Rattus norvegicus: one gene and its partners. The protein of the gene in region 2 interacts with the protein of the main gene of each other region in a biochemical or structural test. Links are inferred from orthologs where the notes say so. Each region holds a gene or a part of one and is shown on either strand. Other genes may lie near its edges.

Evidence for each region.
Region 1: the proteins of Cltc (region 2) and Tom1l1 form a complex in vitro, tested with the Homo sapiens proteins (2 studies listed by BioGRID and IntAct). The link is inferred for Rattus norvegicus from reciprocal best matches to the Homo sapiens genes CLTC and TOM1L1.
Region 3: the proteins of Cltc (region 2) and Clint1 form a complex in vitro, tested with the Homo sapiens proteins (2 studies listed by BioGRID). The link is inferred for Rattus norvegicus from reciprocal best matches to the Homo sapiens genes CLTC and CLINT1.

The regions. Positions count from the first base shown.
Region 1 is NC_086028.1:75,988,242-75,991,893, forward strand, and holds part of Tom1l1 (TOM1-like protein 1), read right to left. Parts: intron 3,469-3,652; coding exon 3,346-3,468; intron 2,430-3,345; coding exon 2,325-2,429; intron 893-2,324; coding exon 776-892; intron 1-775. UniProt on the Homo sapiens protein: Probable adapter protein involved in signaling pathways. Interacts with the SH2 and SH3 domains of various signaling proteins when it is phosphorylated. May promote FYN activation, possibly by disrupting intramolecular SH3-dependent interactions.
Region 2 is NC_086028.1:72,068,097-72,071,848, forward strand, and holds the start of Cltc (clathrin heavy chain 1), read right to left. Parts: upstream 2,596-3,752; 5' UTR 2,498-2,595; coding exon 2,456-2,497; intron 1-2,455. UniProt on the Homo sapiens protein: Clathrin is the major protein of the polyhedral coat of coated pits and vesicles. Two different adapter protein complexes link the clathrin lattice either to the plasma membrane or to the trans-Golgi network.
Region 3 is NC_086028.1:30,834,392-30,838,043, reverse strand, and holds part of Clint1 (clathrin interactor 1), read right to left. Parts: intron 2,598-3,652; coding exon 2,420-2,597; intron 1-2,419. UniProt on the Homo sapiens protein: Binds to membranes enriched in phosphatidylinositol 4,5-bisphosphate (PtdIns(4,5)P2). May have a role in transport via clathrin-coated vesicles from the trans-Golgi network to endosomes. Stimulates clathrin assembly.

The sequences.
Region 1 (3,652 bases), about 3.9 Mb from region 2:
ATGAACGGATGGACAAGAAGAGATTTTACATACTGCAAACGTGAGGCTGGATTGCATATGACCAAGACTACAAATTACAGTAAATTATTCTTTATAGAAGGGCTGGGCTTGATTGTGATCATTACTGCATCTTTGACAAGATGATTACTGTATATTTTCATTAAGTTTAGAAATCAAAGGAAGCTGGGAGGTGTGTGTGTGTGTGTGTGTGTGTGTGTGTGTGTGTGTGTGTACGATGTGTAACATAATGTGTATATTATATATTACATGTATACATATACATATTATATACATAATTCGAAACATAGTACAGTATTACAAATGCCCAGATAAAAAATATGTATGTCAGTATGTGGCATGACTATGAGTGCATAAGACAAGATTTTGAGAAAAAAAAGTAGATATAGGGTTGGGGATTTAGCTCAGTGGTAGAGCGCTTGCCTAGCAAGCGCAAGGCCCTGGGTTTGGTCCACAGCTCCAAAAAAAAAAAAAGTAGATATAAAGAATTTAGGCTCTGGAAAAACATACATATGGCATTATATGTTATATATAATATAGACATTGATATATATTGTGTAATATATATGATATATATCATATACACATATGTATGCATACCATATATATCATAATGGTTATATATGTATATGTATATATATATATATATATCATATATATTAGATTCTATTAACAAGTTTTCCAGCTACAGAGTTCAAAGTTCTTCAGAGAGTAACTGTTGAGAGAACTCTTTGCCCGACCGTCCCTGGGCTCATACCCTCAGGAGCTCTATGTCTTCATGGTTTTCGGAGCCAGGAGTGTTCTCCATCAATATGGCTGTCATCACTTTCACGTTCATTTTCACCATGTCCAGTTCACTGTGCAGTTTCCCGATCTGTGAAGGGCAATGCAACCTCCAGTCACTAAGCGTCACACAAAGACCACAGCTGGCTACCTTGCTTCCTGCCTACAGGACAAATGCTAGAATACCAAATGCCTTTGTAAAAATGTAATGTTTGCAAGCCTACTGACGTTGATCTCGGCAAACATATAATTATTTTACAAATTGTACCCTGTTGTTTTCTGAATAGACTTGGTTATGTCTTATAAGAAACCAGGGCTATGCCTCGGGAGAGTTAAAGATGCAGAAACAAAATGACCTGGACCACTATGAATAAAACAAAAATACCTAGTAGCAGAAGTTAATAGGAACCCGGAGAAAATGAGAAACATTGTCTCACATACTAGCCTGAGTTCCTGGCAAAGCATCAGAAAAGCAAAGGAAGGAGGTAGTGTTGTGGAATGATCACAGTATTCACGGTATTATAGAAAGATGAAAGTGAACCGTTTTGAAATGGTTTAAATTCTAGGAGGAAGAAATTACATGGCTTTTAATGTAAGAAATACTTAATATTAATATAAAGAACTCAATTAGCGTAAAGACTTCAAGGATAGCCTTTTAATGCAAAGATATTAATGAGCATTGTTAATTACATTTATCTAGATCTCTTATAAGTGGAGACTAAGGAGAAAACGCAATTCCTTTGGTACAATTAACATAGGTAATAAGACAACTTGCCATTGGGCGCTCTGAAGTGAAAACAGAACAAAACAAAAACCAACCAACGAACCAACCAAACAAAACCCAACCCACCATCCAAACAGACAAAAAGCCAGGAGTCGGTGGGTGGCCCTCAGACCTAGTTCACAGCGTTTACTGGTCAACATTCTTTTCTTAAAAACATTTGTACTTATTTGTGTGTGTGTGTGTGTGTGTGTGTGTGTGTGTGCGTGCGTGTGAAGTCACAGGATAGTGTTTGGTGTCTGGTTCTCTCCCCACCGTGTGGGTTCTAGGCACACATTCGACTTTGATCATCAGGCTTGATGGAAGGCAGCTTTACCTGCTGAACAGTCTCTCCGCTCCCAAGCACAATTTTTAAATGTGTGAGCCTTCAATTCAGATTAAACTCCGTAGGCTAACTCTGCATAGAGACAAACCACGAGGACACTTTCTCCCTACGCGGCAGTCTCTCCTCCCACAGGAAAAGAAGTGGACACATAAGCACGCAGCCTATGCCTGCCACCCCAACGTATGGAAGGCAGAAGCAGGGGCATTATCAAGAGTTGTGGGCCGGTCTGGGGCACGTAGTGAGTTCGAGGCCAGAGACAGCTACTCAGAAGGTACCTTGTCTCAGAAATCAAAATAAAGATGCTGATTAACCGAGGGCCGGGTTACGTTATAGTAACCCGTCATAACGCCATTAAGGAAATGCAAATTGTAAATCCAATGCTTAGAAAACGTGAATAAACAGTGCTGTCTCTGTTACCTGTTCAGGGACTAAGGAAATAGTCGGGTTCTTGGGAGCAATTATAGAAGAAAGAGCAGGCGCAGTGGGGACAGATGTCGGTCGACTTGGTGAGATCTGACCAGCCTATCAATATAAAATAAAGAAAGAGTATGACACGAATTATCAAAGCCACCGCAAGCCTGGCTCCCATTCAGCTGACTCAGGCATTCATTAAAAAGTCCTGGGGAGTTGGTTTTAGCTCGAAGTTGATCATTGGGAGCACAGCATATCCAGTATTTAGAGAAGACCGCTAAGCAAATGGTAGGCTGTCACGTAACAGGCCTTATTAACGAAATGACTATCCAAAAAAGTCCTCTTGGTTTTCACCAAGGCACTGTATCATGAACCGCCATGCCATTCGAGATTATAGTTCTCCCTTTCCCCTGTTGCTAAAGCACCTTTAATCCCAGCACTTGGGAGGCAGAGGCAGGCAGATCTCTGTGAGCTCGGGGCCAGCCTGGTCTACAGAGTAAGGCCCAGGACAGCCAGGACTACACAGAGAAGAATCTGTCTCAAAACAAACAAACAAAACCCCAAACAAACAAGGAAATAAACAAATAAACAATGAAAAGGGCAAATCAACTCATGCAGTCTTTTTAACTCTCCCACCAAGCTCTCAAGGCATTTCCTCCAGCAGTGAATTGCTTCCTCGATCAGATCTGGTCCTCAACTGTAACTGGATAGCCACAGCTGCAAATCATGACCATGTTGTTTTAGGTCACTGCTTTTCGATATATTGTCAATGTGCGTAGAAACACCAGAACCTTTTTAGAAGGAAGATTCTAGCATAGTATAACACCCTATGGTTAACAAACTACCAGATTATGCCTCAAACGGCACTGTGATTGGCAAAGCCTAAACCCAGGTATTATCCCATGAGATATAACCATATACTAATAAATTCATCTTTCTGCTAAACTGATTAAAGGTTATCCCTTTCAATATGAAAAGGACCTAAACAATGTATATTATTTTACATGGGGCTAAGAAAACCTCCTACCTCCTGTTTTGTCTCAGGCTCTCCATCCAAGGGTGGGAATTGAACCCCTTTCTTCAGCAGGTCGAGGTACACTTCCTTCACTTCACTGACATCTACACCTCCCGGGAAGCCCTGGGACCACATCTAAATGCAAGAGATATCAAGTTCCAGAATGAAAAAAAAAAAAAAAACCCAAAAAACAAAACCATAGCAAGAACCAACACATCTTAAAGCGTATGATGGGAAATGAGTAACTGAAAATTGTGTACTTAATTCAGAGTGAAAAACCTAGTCTTGAATGTTGTGCCCATTTCCAAAGGCTAGAATA
Region 2 (3,752 bases):
CTTCTCCTAAGCGTTTTAAAAGTTGTTTTCTAAGCAGAATGGCAGAGGCTTGGAAATCAAAGACTTAAGATGACAACTGAAACACTCCTTACACTGAAGTGTTAAGAGAGGGATAAAAATCTGAGATCAGGGGGTTGGAGATTTAGCTCAGTGGTAGAGCACTTGCCTAGCAAGCGCAAGGCCCTGGGTTCGGTCCCCAGCTCCGAGGGGGGAAAAATCTGAGATCAGGAGAATACATTATCTTGGAAAAGATGGTGATTTGCCCTTTTGACGAAACTGATCACCATCTACTGGAGTGGAATCCTACCAGCCAAAGCTTAAAGTGTAACATGGTCCTCCAAAGAACAGACAGAGATCTTCAAGAACACTTGTAAAGCTATTTTATAAATATTCAAAATCTCCAAATTTAGGAAAACAGTTTCAAGTATTTGCAGAAATTGTTACTCACATGCCACACCTGCATTAAATTTGTTTTTAATTAGTGACAAGTTTGGATTCCAGTCTGTAGACCATTCAACAATTCTGGTCTCGTGTTTAACAGAAATGAAACACTATTACTCAAATCAACAATGATCATGTGATCAGCAGCTGTCTTTGCTTCTCTTGAATATGGTTTATATACATATTTGCAGAAGGCTATTTCTGATAAACTTCAGTGTGGACAAGGGTTAATTCCAAAGATGGGAGGAGAGAAAACAGCAATCCAATTCATGGCCAAATTAATTAAAGCAAGCAATTAATTAAAGCTAGTTTTTTTTTTTTCGTTAATGTACACAGGCTGCCTCCCTCTTAGCTCAGCTTGAAGAGGTCAGCACACTGTCCGCTAGCATCCAGAACAGTGCCTTCCTAACTCTTTATTTTCTTAACAGAGGAAACTCAAACAAGCTTGAATTGAGGACAAAATTAACTTCTCTGTCAGGATTGTCACTTGACATTTTTCAGACTTTTGCAAAATAGAGATCTTATTGCCAAAATCAGGTGAATTATTTGAAAACTAGTGATGACTGAAGAAAGTGTATTTAGCTCATTTTATGGGCAAAGGTCTATTATCATTTACATTTAAAGTCCTAAAGTAAAATAATTTTTTAATGTAAGCAACACGGTAAAAGTCTATAAAGAAATATTTAATTATTTTACTTGTAGCTGAATTTTAGTTAACCCTGTTTATTATCAAACATCTTTTACGTGTATCAACGGAGAACAGTAAATCAGATTGCCTTCAATGATAAAGCACTCAATAAGTTACCAATATTTGAACTGGATCGTTACACCTTCCCTCATGAAATTAGCCCTTCAAAAGATGAAGCTGAAAGCAGATTTCTTTATGGGGATATTTGGGGGGAAGTAAATTATTATGAATAAATTATGATGTTAAAGAGTCAGGACAAGAGAACCAGGAAAAGCAGCAGTTCAGAAGAAGCTTAATTCAGCGAAGCCCTCCAATGGTCACCTGCCTAGGCCAACTGCTGGCATGGTGCCAGGTTAGACAATGGTGTATTGACTCCAGGATAAGGTGCAGTGGGGGGAGGGGGGCACCCCAGCCTATTAAAAAGAAGCCAGTTATAGATCAACTTGTCAGGTACTGTCTCAGAGCAGGTATGCATTTACAGCACTCCAGGCTCTGTTGAATTCCACACAGTCCTGTGAGACATACTCCTGCCTTAATCCCACAACTACCTGCTAGATTCCAAAAGACCATAAATAACCTCTAAATAACTCTCCCTACCTACAAGAATCAAAGTGAGTCTTAGAACTACACTAACCCTTGAAGAAACCAAGAAAGGAAAAATATGCGCGTTCCCCTTGGGACCTTGACCCCAGGCACCCTGAGACTGACACCGCCCCTAGCCGCCCCTCTATCTTCTTTCTGTTCCTTCAGTGAGTGTGACCTTCGGTTCTTTACAGATTCAGGGAAGGCAAGACACAAGCCACTGCTACCCTAACCCCAAGGTGCCTTTCTCAGCTGTGAGCTGCAGAGCGAAGATGCAGCTCCTCCCCAACCCACCCGCCACACAATTCCTGGGTGCAGACTCGATGTGGAAATCGGAATAGACCAAGGGAAGGTGACAGCCCTGCATCGCCCGGAGTTAACGAGAATTCTTGCTCTGGGAGAAACGCGCGAGAAGCTCCCCCACCTAGCCCCTACCCAAATGAATGAACTGAGTAAAATGGGAAGGGGGGTCTGGTATGCGCAGTTCTTGCAATCCAGGAAGCAGAAATAAGAGGCCGTCAGACGTAAGGCCTGGCCTCGCCGCCCTTTGCACTCCGATTCGTCATTTCCATCCTAGTCTCATATCGTTTAACCCTTTAAGCTTTTAAGACAGTGTCCTTCCTCCATCAATGCCAAATACCGACACCCCCCCACTCCCGTTCTCTCGATCCCCTTCGGGCCGGGCCGCTAGCTTCCTTCCCAATACCCTCGAAAAGTCCCTCAGCAGCCCCGACTAACACGCACCTGGAGATGCTCCTGAAAGCGAATTGGCAGAATCTGGGCCATGGCGCTGTCGGGGAGTATGGTCTCCTCCTGTCACTGGGGCTGCAGGGCAGTGCCTGCCCGGGCTCTCCAAGGGAGAGGAGGAGAAGGGGAAGGGAGGGGGAGGTTGGGCTCAGAGGAATACTCTCCGGGGACGTAGGGAACTGGCAGGCAGACGAGAGAGCTTGGGTCGGGGGCGGAGGCTCCAAGGGCCGGGAGAGCCGCAATGGCGGAACCGGGAGCAGCGCAGACTCCGGAAACGGCTGAGCCCTGCGGAAGGATCCCGGGGCAGAACTCCGCCCAGCCTCCTCACCCTGTCCGCCTTATGTAGCCTTCCACGAACCCCGTGCAGCGGACAGGCGTAGGAATTCAGGGACGCAGTGCGCGGATCGCTCTTCGCTGATGCGGCAGCGGGGAAACAGAGGAACCGAGGGACTACTTTTTCTAGACTCATCACTTTCCCCAGGCTCCGGTTTCTCCCTCCTCCCCTCCCCCCCACCTTTTTTTTTTTTTTAACATTTTGCCACATCATGCGACTCGGGGCGAACTACGTCATTTCCGTAGGCGCTGTAGGACCCACCCACGCACTTCCAGGTGCACGTGATGCGGGTAGGGAAGGGTCGGTTGACGGCTGCCAGAGTGGAGGGCGAGAGTTAGGGACTGGCCGCTGCTCCTGGGGTTGAGGTGGCCGTTGAGCCCCCTGCCGGCGTGGCGACCGGGGCGTGAGGACACCGAGTGCCTGAGGAGAAGGCCGCGGCGTCGGCGCCGCGGTGACTAAGGGAAAACGGCCCCGCCGCAGCGCTCTTTGGGCGGCTGACTGCGGCGCGCCTCCCCCGCCCGGTTTCACGCAGTGGGTGGTTGCTGACACCTCAGGGAGGGGGGATCGTGCTGAGCTGCAAGCCTCCCTGCCCTGACGCACGCCCTTCTGACGCCAGGAGAGCCGGATGGCTCTCGAGTGCCTCAGATAAACCATCTCAAAGGACAGTGAAGGCCATGTGAGAAGTGTCTCCTGCTGGCCCTGGAGAGAGCTTCCGCGGACATTTTGGTGGACTTACACCAGCCTAATGTAGAGATTAGTTTGGCCTTTGAGAGTTGGGAGTGTTCGGCAACCTGAAAATCTTTAAAGGTTTAGATCAAAGGATGGATGGTGAAAGAAACCTCGAGGGCTTTCTTGGAGCGGAGGGATTGACTGTTGGTCATACACGTTAGTAGGATCATTGCCTGTAGTAGCAAAGTGGGCAGTGTAAGCTCTTCAAAACCGGAGCACCTTGCCTGACTA
Region 3 (3,652 bases), about 41 Mb from region 2:
CATCAAGCATTACATAACTGTCAACTGTAGAAACTTAACTATATTTTAAATATTTCTGAAACAATTATTTTACTCATGTTAACATTTCAAGTCAACCAATCAAAAGCTCTATAAAAGCGAACCTCTAGGAAGCAAGAATCCAGGATTTCCACATGCTGGGAATGAAAGGAGTCTATTCTCTAATGTTAAGTCACTGAGTTTTTGTCTGGGATTGAGCAGGCGAGTGGGAGAGAAAAGACAATGTGTGTGTGTGTGTGTGTGTGTGTGTGTGTGTGTGTGAGAGAGAGAGAGAGAGAGAGAGAGAGAGAGAGAGAGAGCGCGCAAGCAAGGGACAAGAACCTGAAGTATGTTCCATTATTTATATTCCCTAGTTGTAGGATAGGCAGTTTAATTTATGAATATCCTAAAGTAAAATGCTTGACTTTCCCCTTAAACTATGAGTATCACTGATGAACTCTGACTCCAATCTAAAGCAATCTCAACTTAATACAAGTCACTTTGGGACTTAGATACATCAAGGGTCAGAAAGCATAGCTTATAGGCTGGCAAGAAGGCTGCACACAAAGCCCTGAGTCACATGTAACTCTGTCTACAGCATGCTGTTTTCTCACCAACACTTGAAAATGCAACATGCACACATCACCAACTGGTATTTGGAATATAGTCCGGATCTTTAATCTGAATTCTCCGGATCAAAGAGGTAGAACTCTTACCCATCCTGCCTCAGACTGGCCATCATCAGCATCACCCAGGCAAACAAGGAAGGCAAAAAAAAAAAAAAAAAAAAAAAAAAAGCAAGCAGAGTTCAAGGAAGAGGAGAAGAAGCCCCTAAGGATATCAGAAGAAGGTAAAATAGAGTAGGACCACACACTGCTATATCACTAAGACCCTACACCTCATCCCCCACTTCAAGTCAGGTCAAAAACTTATACATAGGACACAAGAGCCTGTGTAGAATATTAATAAGGGAAGACAGGAGAGTACTTAGACACTCTCTCTCAGGCTGCAGTGTTACACCTGCAGGCCTCTGGTAGAAAGCAGATACGTTCCTATTACTGATACTACTGTTCCTTCAAAGATTATGCCCTTACAAGTCTTAAAAAGGGCATTCTAGAGATTTAATGGCTCTGGAACCACACTGAATACACTGAACACAGGTATTTTGAAACCTTTTTAAAATCTGGCTATAGTTTTATTTGAACTTCATTCCCATGAACTGTAATCTGAACTATTATAAATGTATGGGTAGGAAAAAGATGCTAATTAGTTAAAAAAAAACAAAAACAAAAACAAAAACCAGCACCAGCACCAGCACCAGCACCACAAAAAACCCCAAACAAACAACAAACTCATTTTCCACAGGTCCATGCAGACTGAGTGGGCCTCAGGTTTTACTTCTATTGTTTGATGTCAGCTTATTATAACTGTCCTACATCAGAAGATGAAGCTTATAAACACAGGCCTGTGCGACTCCAGGTGCCTACCACTACTCCAGGTGCACCCCTGCGCAGGATTGCTCTGGTCACGTGAGCACAGGACGGCAATACTAAGTCTCAGGTAGTTAAATTTTAGCCTTTAACCTTCTCTCCAACGTAGGCTTCATTATCCCCTTCCCCCACACCTTATTTTAGACCATGGAACCGTCTGATGTCCAAATGTAAGATGACAATTATAAATTTTAGAGAGGGTAAAAATCTCGAGGCCAAGACTGAGATGCCTGAAGAAAAATGTAGAGGACAAGAACGGTTAGGGACAGACAGGAGGTGCAGACCGCTCGGAAGAGTCAATATTACTAGCACTTAGGGCTGACCTAGTATCATAAAACTAGGTGACTGGCAACTTTATAAATGGCTCCACTTTTCTTTTTATAGAGGGCATTTTCAGGGAGGCGACATTTGTTACTGGAGAATACTGCATGTTCAACATGGTAACCTCCAGCCTAAACTGTACACTGTAACTACAGCTTATCAATACTAGTTTTTCAGTTAAGAAATGTAACACAGGGGTTGGGGATTTAGCTCAGTGGTAGAGCGCTTGCCTAGCAAGCGCAAGGCCCTGGGTTCGGTCCCCAGCTCCGAAAAAAAGAAAAAAGAAGAAAAAGCAGAAGAAGAAGAAAAAGAAAAAAAAAGAAAAAAGAAATGTAACACAATTATCTTGAAACCATGAGAAAGAGAAAGGGTATGTAGTGCCTTCTGTACTTTATGATCAAATTTTCTGTGTCATATAGATTTCTCTAACAAAGTGTGTTTTTAAAAAAGGCTAAGCTTTAGATAACAGCAATACATCAAAATTAAACCAAACCAAACCAAACCAAACGGCTGCGTAAAGCAAAGCCCTTAAGCAAGTGGTGGAGAGGCGGTGGAGAGGCGGTGGAGAGGTGGTGGAGAAGTGGTGGAGAGGCGGTGGAGAGGCAGCGTACCTGCACCTTTCCGGAGAGTCCTCCCGGTCTTTCCTCCGGAACTTGCTGATGGTGTCGTCGATTGTGCTCCCGATCTTGTCGCTCAGCTCCCCTAGCTTGTCACTGAATGGAAACGCACTCTTGTTCTTATCCCACTCTTCGTCCCATTTGGACTTGGGCTCAGGGTCATACCGTTCATCTGTGTAAACAACGAAGAAAAACAACTGAGGATATTAAATCTGGAAGGTTCCAGTGTCCTTCCTTCTCCTAAGAAAATTATTTTTAAGGGAAAACGAATCTCCCACAGTGCCACACAAACACAACATGGTGCAGCCCATGCCAATCAAAAGCCTGTCTTCAGGTAACTTCACAGCCTTGATGGACAGGACAGATCTGAAGCCCTTGAACACTGCTACAGGAGTAGATACAGAAGCCATTCTATAAACACAAGACAAATGAACATCTTTCCAGTTTTCTAAAGTCATCCAATGAGTTCAATGACTATTTTATTCTTATCTTAATGGTTCTTCATTTTTAGACAAATATAAGCCAATGACAATATCTTAAACAGAAAGTAAGGCTATGTGCTGTGGTCCATGCCTATAACCCCTGTGTTCAGGAGATGGAGGCAGAGAGTGCAAGTTCTAGGGCAGCCCAGGCTCTGCACAAGTGGATGTGCGTCCAACAAACAAACAACAGAGAAAGGCAAGAAAGCGAGTTTGGGGGTGCAGAGAGAAGGGAGAAGGGGAGGGGAATAAGGCTGAAGGAGTGAGCACACACACAGAGCAAGCTAGCAAGACATGACGGTAAACTACACCAGAGCGAAGCTCAGTGATCATTTGAGAGCAAGAGTCCAAAGCTATGCAGTGCAGCACAACACAATGAGATCACCATCTCAGTAACAGGTGAAAGAGGAAGGAAGGGCAGACAGACGCATGGACCCAAAGGAGGAGGAGGGAAGGAAATTGACTGACTAACTAACCACTTAAGCACTGTTTCCCTAAAAGAACTCTGGTCTGAGCCCCATGACCCAGTTAGCTGAAAGGACCACATCCTTTAGTACCAAGAATGCAAATGAATGGAGTGAGGCATGGGAAGAATCCTGTAATTTTATTAAAAAAAATTCTAATTCTCCAAATCTTCACACTTTAGAACTATAAATGCTCTGAGCAGCTCCGACTTGGTGCTGGTGCATCAGAGAACCTCTGTGTGAGTCTGGAGTAAAGAAAAGACTGCAGCCCGGATGTAGATCGC